Sus scrofa: one gene and its partners. The main gene of each other region encodes a partner of the protein of the gene in region 3 in a complex. Links are inferred from orthologs where the notes say so. Each region holds a gene or a part of one and is shown on either strand. Other genes may lie near its edges.

Region 1 (4,276 bases), on a different chromosome or scaffold from region 3:
CTGTCTTCCTCCTCTGAACTTCTGCAGCCCCCAAGACTCCATCACTCATCAGCAACAGGCTGTGTCGGGTCATTAGCTGTCTTTTTATGTATATGTCCTGTCCCTCCATCCACATGACAGGATCCTGGAGAGCAAGGGTCATGTCTTATTCATCTTTGTGTCCCCCGTGGCACTTTGCCTGATGTTTGGGGCACAGCGGACAGTCCATAAATCTGCTGACAGATTGAATACCTGATTTATATGCTTCTGGAACCACAGAGGTACATAGTAGCTTGACTCAACTACAAAACTACAAAGAAAAGAGGAAACCTGTGACCTCCACACCATTTCCGAAAGATCGTAAATCTTTTCTGCACTAAATAATGATGCTGGGGTCAAGATTTGTTCCCCAGCCCCCAGCTGCTGGTATCATTCTTATTTAAAAACGATTGAGTGAAAGCCCAGGGAATCTTAGTCTCAGCTGTCCAGTACCGCTGGGTGGGTCATATACTGACACAGCCCCCCCCCAGAAACATGAAGGATGGCAATCACAGGAAGAGGAAGCAGATCTGTCCTCAGTGGCTTCCACCCCAGGCAACAAGGCAGAGCCCCAAGGTCCCATTAGTAGAACTGGCTGCTGGCTCCCTGCCCTGCACGGATCTCTATTCCCCATCCTCATTCGTAATCCTGACATCCAACAAAGGGAAGAGGGAGAGAGGAGAGCATGGAAGATCAGAGTCAGAAAAGATTTACTTGTAGTTTGGATGTTGCAATAATATTCCTCCCAAGCTAGCCTTGGTTCAGAAGCCCCTGCTGGCCATCCAGGGTCAGGCGATTTGCATTTGTCTCTAATCCCCTCAAACCGCCCTTAAGGCCAAGCAACTTGTTTAAATCATGCAGCCAAGACAGGATTTCCTCATCTGTAAAAGATATGTGGATTAAATCAATGAGCCCTAGAGAGCATCCACCTCTTGGTGGAGTCATGAAAATCAAACCAGTGGTGGAAGAAGGAAGTTTGGTTGGTAAAGGAGGGAGTGGTAACGAGGTCAGAAGAGTGTGGGTGGAGCGGCTGAGAGGTGAACCCGGTTTAGGGCAGGGGGCGGAACTGAGATCAAGAGCAATAAAAGCTCCACTCTCCATTCTCCCAGCTGGCGCTCGCCCTCCGGAGCCAGGCAGCCAGGCGCTGCCAGGCACCGCCCGGAGGCGGTGCGTGGGGTTACACGCCTCGCCCCTTCCTCCCCTAGTCCCACCCCCGCCCCAGCCCCACCCCCTGCCCTAGCCCCACCCAGTCCTAAGCCCCGCCTTCGGTGCCACCCTTGACCCAACCTCTTCCCGCCCCTGTTCCGCCTCCTAGCCCCGCCCACAAGGCCCGGAAGCAAAAGCCGTTTCTCCACTTCCCAGCCGGGTCACGACCCAGCGGGCAGGAGCCAGGATTGCGAGAGCTCGGTGTCCTCAGCGGGTCAGCGAAGGCCCGGTTCAGAGCCATGTCCACGAATCTGCGCACCGCGCTCATTTTTGGTGGCTTCATCACCCTGATCGGCGCCGCCTTCTACCCCATCTACTTCCGGCCCCTAATGCGGCTGGAGGAGTACCGTGAGTGACCTCTGACCACCACGCGGTGCCCTGGTCCCAGTGACTCCCTCTCTTTCCCCATCCTCTCCACGTGGGGCCTTGGGCAGAGCTTGGCTCGCGAGTCAGGGAGACCTGGGTTCGAATCCTTTGTGTGCAGCTTTGTGACCGTGGACAAGTGACTCCACCTCTTGGGCCCTCACTATCTTCATCAGTAGTTATGTGTTTCTGTAGTATCTTAAAATAAAACCGTCTAGCCTCTGCTGAGACTCAAAGGCAGTCTGCACGTCGTAGGTCAACACTAAATACGAGTTAATATTCATAGCTAACATTCACTGCAGGCTTCTATGTCTCGTTAATGCACATAGGATCTTTTAATTTACACCTTTTTTTGAGGTACATGTTGCTGTCTTACAGACGGGGAAACTGAGACTCAGGTTGTGTAACATGCCCAAAGTCACACAGCTGTTAGCGGCAAGACACGTATTCCAACCCAGGCCTCTGTCTCCAGAATTTCTTCCTTGTACTGAAGCTGGGAAGGTGATATTGGGGGAGGGAGGTGGGCCCTAATTGTCCTGAACTTGCAGATGTGTTTATTGCACTTCATTTCCGCTCCCAAAGATGTCTTTGATCAGAAATGTCTCAGAGCTAAACTGTTAACCTGAGGTTTTGGGTTTTTCCTCTTCTTTCTCCTCAAATCTTCCTTCAGATTCTGCTATCTTCCTTCATTTTAAGCTGGTTACTCACATGACAATGGTGAATATCCTGGGAGTAATTTTCTTCCTTAATCATTCCAGTCCTATCATTCTAAAAGCCACACTCCCCTTCCTTGAGACCTATACCTCAGCAAGGATTAGCACTTTGATACATCTGAAACCATCTGTCAGAGAGAAAATATTAGGCATTAGAGGCTCATTTTGTTCTCCAGGAAACCTGAATCATCTAGAAGATGGAAAAGGGCCAACCTTGCCCCTTGAGAATATCAGTGGAGGCTGTGAGCTTGGTGATTTGAAGGCAAAAGTGCTGTATAAATGCTCTGACCATTACAAATGCTACAACATCTGGTTTCTGAGGCAGAGCGGTTTAAGTACACACTCAAATTTCTTGTAGCTTCTTTTCATCAGTCAAGATTGAAATGGCCTCTGCACCCTGCCTTCCAGCCTATCTATCTACGTGACCACGCGTGACCACGCGTGACCACGCGTGACCACGCGTGACCACGCGTGGGGGTAAACATGGGACCTTGGAAGCCCTGCGTTATCTCTCTGTTTTATCCCTTCTTACTTGGTCCTTGCCCCGGGCTATTGTATTATAGCCCCTAGAGTTGAAGCTGGGACAAGGGAATCTACTTTGGATCCTACTTGAAAAGTTTCAGTTCTGAAGACTAGAGCCGTACCTCTCAACTGGGGATGATTTTTGTCCCCCAGGGGACATTTAGTTCTATCGGGAGACGTTTTTGCTGGTCACAAAATGGGTGGGGTGGGTGGAGTAAGTGTGCTCCTGGCATCTAGTGTATAGAGGCCAGGGTGCTGCTAAACTCTCTGTAATGCACAGGGCAGCCCCCACCCCTTAACAAAGAATTACCCAGCCCAAGATGCGAGTGGTGCCAGTGGTGCTGGGTTGAGAAACCCTTGCTCTAGGGCAGATGATCAAGGTGGGTTTGTGCTGTGTCTCCCAATGACAGTCTTAAAGGAATAGTCCAGGGAGTTCCCATTGTGGCTCAGCTGTTTAAGAACCTAATATCCATGAGAATGAGGGTTTGATCCCTAGCCTTGCTCAGTGGATTAAGGATCCAGCATTGCCACAAGATACAGCATAGGTCGCAGGTGCAGCTCAGATCTGGCACTTGCTGTGGCTGTGCTGTAGGCTGGCAGCTGCAGCTCCAGTTCGACCCCAGCCTGAGAATTTCCATATCTGGCAGGTGCAGCCCTAAAAAAAAAAAGGCGGGATGGGGAGTAGTCCAGAGTCTATGGTTGCCTGAGTCACCTTGAGATAGACAAATGAGGCCTTTAAAGTGAACATTTAGTGCATGTGGCTCCAGTATCTGCATTTTTAACTGTAAGGCATTCTACAGCTGCCTGCTTTTCTGGTTCAATTTTAATTGATTTGAACAACTCTTATCTGAGAGTCATAACTGATTCCTTAAAAAAGTAAATAATACTAAATAGCTAATATTTATTGAAAGCTCTCTTGCAAGCACTTGATATATATTAACCCATTTGGTTTTCATAACAACCCTTTGTGGTAGCTGCTGTGTGACTAGCTCCCTGTTTTATTTTTTAATTCTATTCTATTCTACTCTACTCTAAACTATTTTATTTTTTGTCTTTTCTTTCTTTTTTTAATTTTTTTTGGTCTTTTGTCCTTTTAGGGCCGCGCCCGCAGCATATGGAGGTTCCCAGGCTAGGGGTCTGATCAGAGCTATAACTGCCGGCCTACACCGGTGCCATAGCAACGCAGGATCCGAGCCGTGTCTGCGACCTACACCACAGCTCACAGCAACGCTGGATCCTTAACCCACTGAGCGAGGCCAGGGATCGAACCCACAACCTCCTGGTTCCTAGTCGGATTCGTTAACCACTGCGCCACGATGGGAACTCCCATCATCCCCATTTTATATGTGCACAGACTGAGGTATGGAACAGATAACCTGCATAAGGACCCACAGCCGATGAGTCCCAGACATGGGATTTGAACCAGGGCCCTTAATCGCTTTACCAGGGCACCA
Region 2 (3,596 bases), on a different chromosome or scaffold from region 3:
GTGTGTGTGTGTGTGTGTGAGAGAGAGAGAGAGAGAGAGGTGTTCTAGGTAAGAGCATAGTATTTAACTCATTACATGTAATATATTCTGTACTTCTTCCCCCACCAAATTCATCATACTGTTGCTAAGTCTAAAACTGTAATTTGTCAAAGATTGTTCTGAAAAAAAAAGGAAATCTCACATATTCACGAAGGGTCTTTTCAGGTTACACGTATTTTTCAGCATTTTATCTGATTAAAATTCTAGGTCTGGACTTCCCTGGTGGCTCAGTGGGTTAAGGATCCAGTGTTGTCACTGCTGTGGCTAAGGTCGCTATTATGGTGCGGGTTTGGTGCCTGGCCTGGGAACCTGTGTGTGCCACAAGCACGGCCAAAACATAAAAGTGCTTCTTATATGTAAGGTTCACTGATGTTTTATTGAATGCAGGTGCTCTCTGCTCATCTCCTCACTCATTGTATTACCCACGTTGTTGGCATTGCAGAGTGTGGTCCTTCAGCGAGTAGTTAGTTGGTAGTCGTCAGCGAGGCCTCACGTTTGGACGGCCCTTCCTTCGTTCCGTGTTCTCCTCCCCTGGCCTGGGAACCATCTATATCAGGATGTTTTGACACTTGTTAGGCAGTTAGGTAAAAAGAAAGTTGTAACTATCTGAATCTTATATTTGTTTTCTTTTTTGATGAGGAATAATGTACATGTTAAGTTTACAGACAATTTTAGAATACTGGCTTGGAAGACCTTAGAGATTATTTAAACTAGTCCCCGCATTTATACATGAGGAAACATATTCTAAGTCCACATATCTTTTCTCCAGTGAATAAGAGATTAAAAGCAATTCTAACAGCTGCTCTTTTTTATGAGCCCGGACCTGCACTAAGCACTTAACTGGAGAAGTAAGAGTTTTGATCCCTGGAGCTTCCAAGAGATGTTTGTTGACTAGAAGCTATTCAGCTGGTGCCAGTCATCATCATCAGCTATGCCTCTTGGTTGGGGTGGGCAGCCCTGGGGCAAAGGGCCCAGGAATGTGGCCAGGAGGGCGGCCAGGCTCGTGTCCTCTGGGTCCCCCAGAGCACAGCACCGCCTCCGTGACATTTGCTGCAGGATACCTGGAGGCCCCCATATGCACACATCGCCCCAGCACAGGGTGCCCAGTAAATGTTAGCTCTGTTTTTCAGTTTGTATTTGTTATTTATTGACTGCTGTTATCTGCATCATAATCATTTGAATGTCCTTCCTTCTCTTGCCCCACGAAGATAGGAAGGTAAAAATGATAGGTTCTGGCCCATCCTGGGAGATGGCTGGGAACACAGAGGGGAGGCCTCCACTTAGGTGGAAGCAGGCAAGGCAACAGGCCATGACTGACATTTGCTGAAATTGAACGGAGGGCTGTTCCCAGAGAATGTGTTATTTGACCTTCATTCTCAACATATGCTAAGAGATGCTCTGCTGTATTTACTGTTGCCGTCCCATGGACGCGCTCCTACCCTCTCATCTCTTCAGTGACCTCTTGAAACACTGATGGTTTGTGTTCTCTTATGTCCCCCGTCTCATCCTCATTTGTTCCTCAGTAAACTGCAGTCTGACTTCTGCCCTCACCCGGTGTAAGCTGCTCTTCCTAAAGCTTCTAGTAGGTATCCTCCCATCCTTTCTAAACTCGACCTCTCTGGAAACCCCTAAGATGCTCTTCGACCTGGCTTCCCTCATTACCCTCTTTTCTCTTCCCTCAGCATCTCTGTCTTTCTCTTCTGGACCTTTTCTTCCTCTCCTCTTCCTTCATGTCGGTTTGCCAGATCTTCTCCTCATTGTCAAATATGACAAAGGTCAGTTTACATCCACGGAATCCAGCTCCTTCCTGTCAATCGTGGATTCATTTCTTGGCTCTCTTCTTCAGGCCCCATACTGGACTTGGCCCTTTGACTCTTGCATCCTGTGTCTTTGTCAATTTCACTCGTCTAGAATCCAGAATCTTCCTGGGCTCCTAATTGTTCATTTCATCTCCTGAGTTACCCCCCAGAGCGATTTCACCCTTCTCATCAGGATGTGCCTCCCTGTGCTCAGGCCCTCTTTGCATCTTGTCTGGGTTAAGGTCCTGGTTTATTTATTGGACACTGCTCTCACCTTGCTGGCCTTTTGCCACAAGTTGTCAGACTTATTCAAGACACAGAATTGATCTCACAGCTGTCATATTAATAGTGCCCATTCGGGTAGATCTGACTTATTAGAGGGGCATGAATGGATCATCATGACCGGGCCTCTGCCATTCTGGCTTCACCTCAGCCCCTTCTTCTGTTGAGAAACTGCTATGCTGGTACTAGTGTACATATAGCTCTTCGCCCGTCAGTGTTTCCTCATCTGTGGGCTTTTCCACATGTGCCTTCTATGTGCATTTTTGTTGGTCCTTCAGAATGTGGTTCAAATATCCCTGGACAGTGTCCTTCTCCTGCTGCTCCCTTGTTTCCATGGTGCGCTGGGCCACGCCTCTGTCTCCCACCCACATGCATCACTGTGACACAGGCCTTGTCTTCTGACATCTTGGACTCCTGAGGACGGTGCCGAGCTTCCTGTTTCTCTCTCCTGGCTATCCAGAAAAAAAAACCTATTAGGTCTTTTTTTTTTTTTTTTCTCCCTTTAATTTGGTAGCTGAATGTTTACAACAAATTTGACCATTATTAAAAATCTGCTACTAAAGATTGTGTCTGATGAACTGGATGTCTGAATGTATTGTGAAAGGGAGCTTATATTATATGCTTGCAAAGTAATTCACTTTAAAAGTTTTTTCTTTCTTATAGCTATAATGATCCAGCCTTTTATGAAGAATGCAAAATGGAATATCTGAAGGAAAGGGAAGAATTCAGAAAAACTGGGATTCCTACCAAGAAAAGACTACAGAAGCTTCCCACAAGCATGTAGGCGAAGTCAAATGATACTCAGGAACCCTAATATCCATGGAAATCACAGTCACCTGAAATAACGGACTTAAGGAAGTGTTTGCTTTACCCTTAATTACGGAAATAATTTTATCTGAAATAAAGTTCTTGCAAACTTCAAAGTTAAGTTTATTAAATAGGATAGGAGTAAGTAGTAAAATGGGATGTGGTCTGCTTGGTCATTATGGATTTTCCATTAACTTTTGCACAACTGTGGTTCTGTAACAGTGACAGCTGATTTCTTAAGTTTCCACATGACTCTTACCTTACTCTCCTCATGTGGCCAGCATTTACTAAAGCAAAGCAGGAATGGACAGCCTTCAGAGGTGTAGTAACTTGGCAGTATAGCATAATGGTTATGAACCTACCATTTATTAGTTAAGCAACTGTGGATATGTCTCATAGTTACCATGAGTATTAACCAAGTACTGCAGGTAAGTAGAGTAGGTAGGACAGTGCCTTGCACATGGTAAGTGCTCTTTGTAGTTATTATCAGTAGTAGTATGAGTATAGTATTTTTAATGGCCACATCTGCAGCATGTGGAAGTTCCTGGACTAGGGGTTGAATCAGAACTGCAGCTGAGGCCTATGCCACAGCCGCAGCAACACCAGATCCGAGCTGCATTTTTGACCTACAGCACCTTAACCCACTGAGCAAGGCCAGGGATCAAACCC
Region 3 (4,127 bases):
GGATCTGTTCAGCAGTAAATTAATGGCTTTAATGCTAAAATTACACATTTCAAACTCAAAAAGCAACTGAACTTGTCTGAGTATCCTGGGTGCCCTGGGGTTGGGGGCTGAGAAGCAAAGCCAAGGAAATGAACGCCTCACAGGCCAGTCGGCCCCTGAGCCCCACTCACCCCAGGTCAGTGCAGTGGAAGGGAGTGACAACGTGGGCGCCACTCTCGGCGGTTGACGACAGCCGGCCGGCGTCCCGGGCCTCCCGGGCCGGGTCCACCATGGTCCTTGGCATCAGGTACAGCTCCTTGGAGTGGTCAAAGTGCCCCCTGACCTTCACCGGCCTGTACTCCAGGTTTCGCAGTTCCAGTGGGCTACAGGGAGAGGAGAAACGGAGCTGGGGCCGCGCAAGGTTTGGCAGGAAGACGAACCCTTTGGATCTGCCATGAAGCCCACGGTGACTGAGGTGCCCTCTGAAGGAGGAAGCCGGGGCCTTTGATGCCACATGGGAATGTGGGTCTGGGCTGCCCAACGGAGCAAGTGTTCAGGAAAAGCTTAGAGATGGACTCCCGCATGAACGGGATAAAACACATGAGCCAAAGCCACATCCGCAAGCCAAGTGGGACCCACTGTTTGCTGTCTTGAGCGGAAAGCATTCTGATTACAGCTGTTCCTCTAGGATGGGGCTTTTATTTTTTGTTTTTTAGGGCCGCACCCGTGGCACATATAAGTTCCCAGGCTAGGGGTCATATCAGAGCCACAGCCACGTGGGATCCAAGCCTCTCCTGTGACCTAAATTACACCTCGCGGCAATGCCGGATCCTTAACCCACCAAGCAAGGCCAGGGATGGAACCCACATCCTCATGGTTACTAGTGGGACTCGCTGCTGCGGCACAACAGGAACTCTGGATGGTGCTTTTAAATGAGGGGACAGGGGAGTTCCTGTTGTGGCTCAGTGGTTAACGAATCTAAGAACCATGAGGTTGTGGGTTTGATCCCTGGCCTTGCTCAGTGGGTTAAGGATCTGGCATTGCCGTGAGCTGTGGTGTAGCTTGCAGACGCGGCTCAGATCCCGTGTTGCTGAGGCTCTGGTGTAGGCCAGCAGCTACAGATCCGCTTAGATCCCTAGCCTGGGAACCTCCATGTGCCGCGGGAGTGGCCCTAGAAATGGCAGAAAGACAAAAAATAAAAATTAAAAAAATTAAAATGAGGGGACAGGGCTGTAGACTCACTGGGCACTTTTTCAAAGTACTTCTCCTGTCAAGAGATACGTGTACCCTAGCGCTGGCTAAGAATGACTGCTATAGAGGCCATCCTCGAGGGACCCTTGCTGCACAGGGCATGGAAAAAAAGGTGAATCCCAGGTTCAAAAATTTTCCTGTGTATGTCAGGCAGTGTCACAAGGGCAGTCGAGTGACAACAGGAAGCCTAGCAGGCCCACTGATGTGAGAGCTCCCATCAGGGTCAGGAAGGCATGTGACCTCCGGCCAGCGCAGCCCTGGTGGGCAGCCACATACACTCACTCTGCGGGCAGCGGGATGGGCTCAGCCATAATCCTGGACTCCAGTTCGGCGATCAGCTTTAGCTTCCACTTCCGACGCTGGACCTACACAGACACAGAGCATTAGCTCGAGCGGGTGGCAGCAGGGTCAAGGGCTCAGGGCCAGGAGAGCCAGAGGTCAGGCTTTACCTGCCATGTCCCCAGGCCAAAGGCAGTCCCAGGAATGAGGAGTAGAAACCACTGGAGAAAGGCATCATCGTGCGCTTTTGCGGCAGTCGCTTCAGCTGAAGAGCTGCCACTCCTGCTGGGCCTCCAGGCCAGCCCTAGGAGATGTCACAACATGGGCATGGGGCTAGAGGCCTGGGACAAAGAAGTGGAGGCTCCGAGTTCTCAAAACTGCCACTATTGCCAAAGAGAACATGGGCCGGGAGGAGGGCACAGGCCACCGTGTGCAGTCAGGAGCCAACCAGCAGCCCAGCCCTGCCCCTACCCAGTACCCGGGCCTTGACCCCCACTCAGCGGACGTTCACTGACGAGGAGATCTAGCATTCAGTCCTGGCTCTGCCACCAACCATGACCCTGACCGATTCACATAACCAACCCGTGCCTTTCGCACAAGAACCCGCTAAGATGCATCCTATCACGCCGACCACACAGGTCCACCAGCCACAGTGCTCTGAAGAGAGCGTGAAACACTCAGGACAGTGGTTTACAGAGCTCTCAGCATTTAAACCTCGAAAAAGGTACACAGAAAGTGCCTTTAGACACTCAGCGGGCGAGTGCCGTCAACGGAAAGCATCATGGGTTTGGGGCCGCTAAACAAGCTGGTCTGGAGCAGGCTTGCGACCTTTAAATGTGCACCGCACTCCACACACACACACACACGATTGCCCTTTGCTGTACCCGGGAGGCAACGTGCAAACCGTCGCGACTGGTTGTGCTTTTCTTCAGGATCCCGGACGGTTTCAGCCTTGGGCTGGCCCCGCATTAGTCCGAGGAGGTGTCTGGGCAACTACCGCACGTCTTCCGCCGAGGGCGTCGGACTGCCGCATGGGACGGGCCGGCGCGTGGCCAGGGCCTGTCCCCGAGGCGCAGGAGGCAGTTCCAGGGTTCATCGTGACCCCATGACCCCTGGCAAAGTGCAGGGCAGCTTTCCCAGGTGCCAAACGACTCCTCACCTGGGCGCGAGATGACCCCAAGGACGCTCCTCCCGACGGCGCGGGCCGGGGCCTGCGGAGACGCGAGGGGCCGGCTGAGCTCGTCCAGTCCGGGCGCGCCCCCCAGCCGGGCCGCCCCCCGCCCGGGCTCCCCGCCCCGCTCACCCGCCCCGCGCCCGCGGCGCGGAGCACCTGCGCCAGCCCCGCCGCACGCAGCCCCAGCCACCGCGCCGCCATCGCCCCGCGCGCGCGCGCTTCCGGCGCCCGGAGGCGTCTGCTTCCGGGGCCCGCCCGGCCCCGCCCCCGGCCCACGTGGTCCAGCGGCGCTCAGCTGCGGGTCCGCGCGCGTGGGACCATGAGCGAGCCGCCGGCCGAAGTGGTCGCCTTCCTGCGCGAGCACCCGAGTCTGCGGCTGGAGCCCGGCGCCCTCAAGGTGGGCGGCGGGATCGGGACCCCCAGACCGCCCCCGGGACCCCGGCTGCCCGGCCTCCCTGACCGCCCCGCTCTCCCGCCGGCAGGTGAGGTGCGCTCTGACGGGTCATGAGCTGCCTTGCCGCCTGCCCGAGCTCCAAGTCTACACCCGCGGCAAGAAGTACCGGCGGCTGGTGCGTGCCTCCCCGGCCTTCGACTACGCCGAGTTCGAGCCGCACATCGTGCCCAGCACCAAGAACCCGTACGAGCCGGAGGCGGGGCGGGCCCTGCCCGGGAGGCCCGGGGTGGGACAGTTCCTAGTGCTGAGTCTGGCTAGGGCCGGGTAGACTCCGCAGCCCCGACCCCTCCCCGCTAGGTGGGCGCTCCTCTAAGACGCCACCAGTTCCGCGGCGCCCACCCTCCCTTGAGTTAGGGCCCCCGAGATCCAGGTGGGAATCCTGGAGCTGGGCGTCACCTGGGACCTCAGGCGAGGCCCGGTCCCCGTGCATGTTTGCTTTTTTGTAAAGATGAGGTTTGTCTCCTGGGCCTCTTTGCTTCATAGAGGGTTGGAGCGCTTGTGCTTTGTCACCTGAGGTTCGAACGCTGGCATTTTATCTTTAGTTGAAAAGAACTTTGATTTAGCTGAGAGCACCCGGTGGACAATACTAGTCTTAATGAAGAGGGCGCTGGCAGATGCTCCCACTGTCGCACACCTTCCCAGGCTATCACCAGCGCACCTCTCTCATGCTGGAGCAGTCTGGAGAGGCTGGCTCCGCCTATTGAGAGGCCACTGTCTGGGGGAGGGGTTCCCCCCCAGTTCAGAGTACAAGTGCTTGGAAGCTCTATAAGAGTCCCAAAGTTCCCTGGTGGCCTCACGGTTAAGGCTCTGGCATTGTCACTGCTGTGGCATGGCTGCAATCCCTAGGTCAGGAATTTCGCCATGCCGTGGGTGCAGCCAAAAAAAAAAGACTCCCAGTGCCCAAGCCACATGGTAGACCTCCCCCGCTCAGACTCTCCGGGGTGATTCTAAGAGCAGCCACAGTAGACAGCCACTGGTCTGGAACCTCGC

Evidence for each region.
Region 1: surfeit locus protein 1 (region 3) and SMIM20 share a complex: the UniProt entries of both Homo sapiens proteins name them as parts of the MITRAC (mitochondrial translation regulation assembly intermediate of cytochrome c oxidase complex) complex. The link is inferred for Sus scrofa from reciprocal best matches to the Homo sapiens genes SURF1 and SMIM20.
Region 2: surfeit locus protein 1 (region 3) and CMC1 share a complex: the UniProt entries of both Homo sapiens proteins name them as parts of the MITRAC (mitochondrial translation regulation assembly intermediate of cytochrome c oxidase complex) complex. The link is inferred for Sus scrofa from reciprocal best matches to the Homo sapiens genes SURF1 and CMC1.

What each region holds. Positions count from the first base shown.
Region 1 is NC_010450.4:19,699,696-19,703,971, forward strand, and holds the start of SMIM20 (small integral membrane protein 20), read left to right. Parts: upstream 1-1,346; 5' UTR 1,347-1,463; coding exon 1,464-1,572; intron 1,573-4,276.
Region 2 is NC_010455.5:14,751,647-14,755,242, forward strand, and holds the end of CMC1 (COX assembly mitochondrial protein homolog), read left to right. Parts: intron 1-2,783; coding exon 2,784-2,904; 3' UTR 2,905-3,043; downstream 3,044-3,596. UniProt on the Homo sapiens protein: Component of the MITRAC (mitochondrial translation regulation assembly intermediate of cytochrome c oxidase complex) complex, that regulates cytochrome c oxidase assembly.
Region 3 is NC_010443.5:272,967,588-272,971,714, forward strand, and holds the start of surfeit locus protein 1, read right to left. Parts: upstream 2,900-4,127; 5' UTR 2,885-2,899; coding exon 2,813-2,884; intron 2,721-2,812; coding exon 2,669-2,720; exon of another isoform or gene 2,479-2,668; coding exon of another isoform or gene 2,394-2,478; intron 1,814-2,393; coding exon 1,680-1,813; intron 1,596-1,679; coding exon 1,513-1,595; intron 363-1,512; coding exon 171-362; intron 1-170. Other genes in the region: SURF2 (surfeit locus protein 2), read left to right, coding at 3,003-3,080, 3,166-3,320. UniProt on the Homo sapiens protein: Component of the MITRAC (mitochondrial translation regulation assembly intermediate of cytochrome c oxidase complex) complex, that regulates cytochrome c oxidase assembly.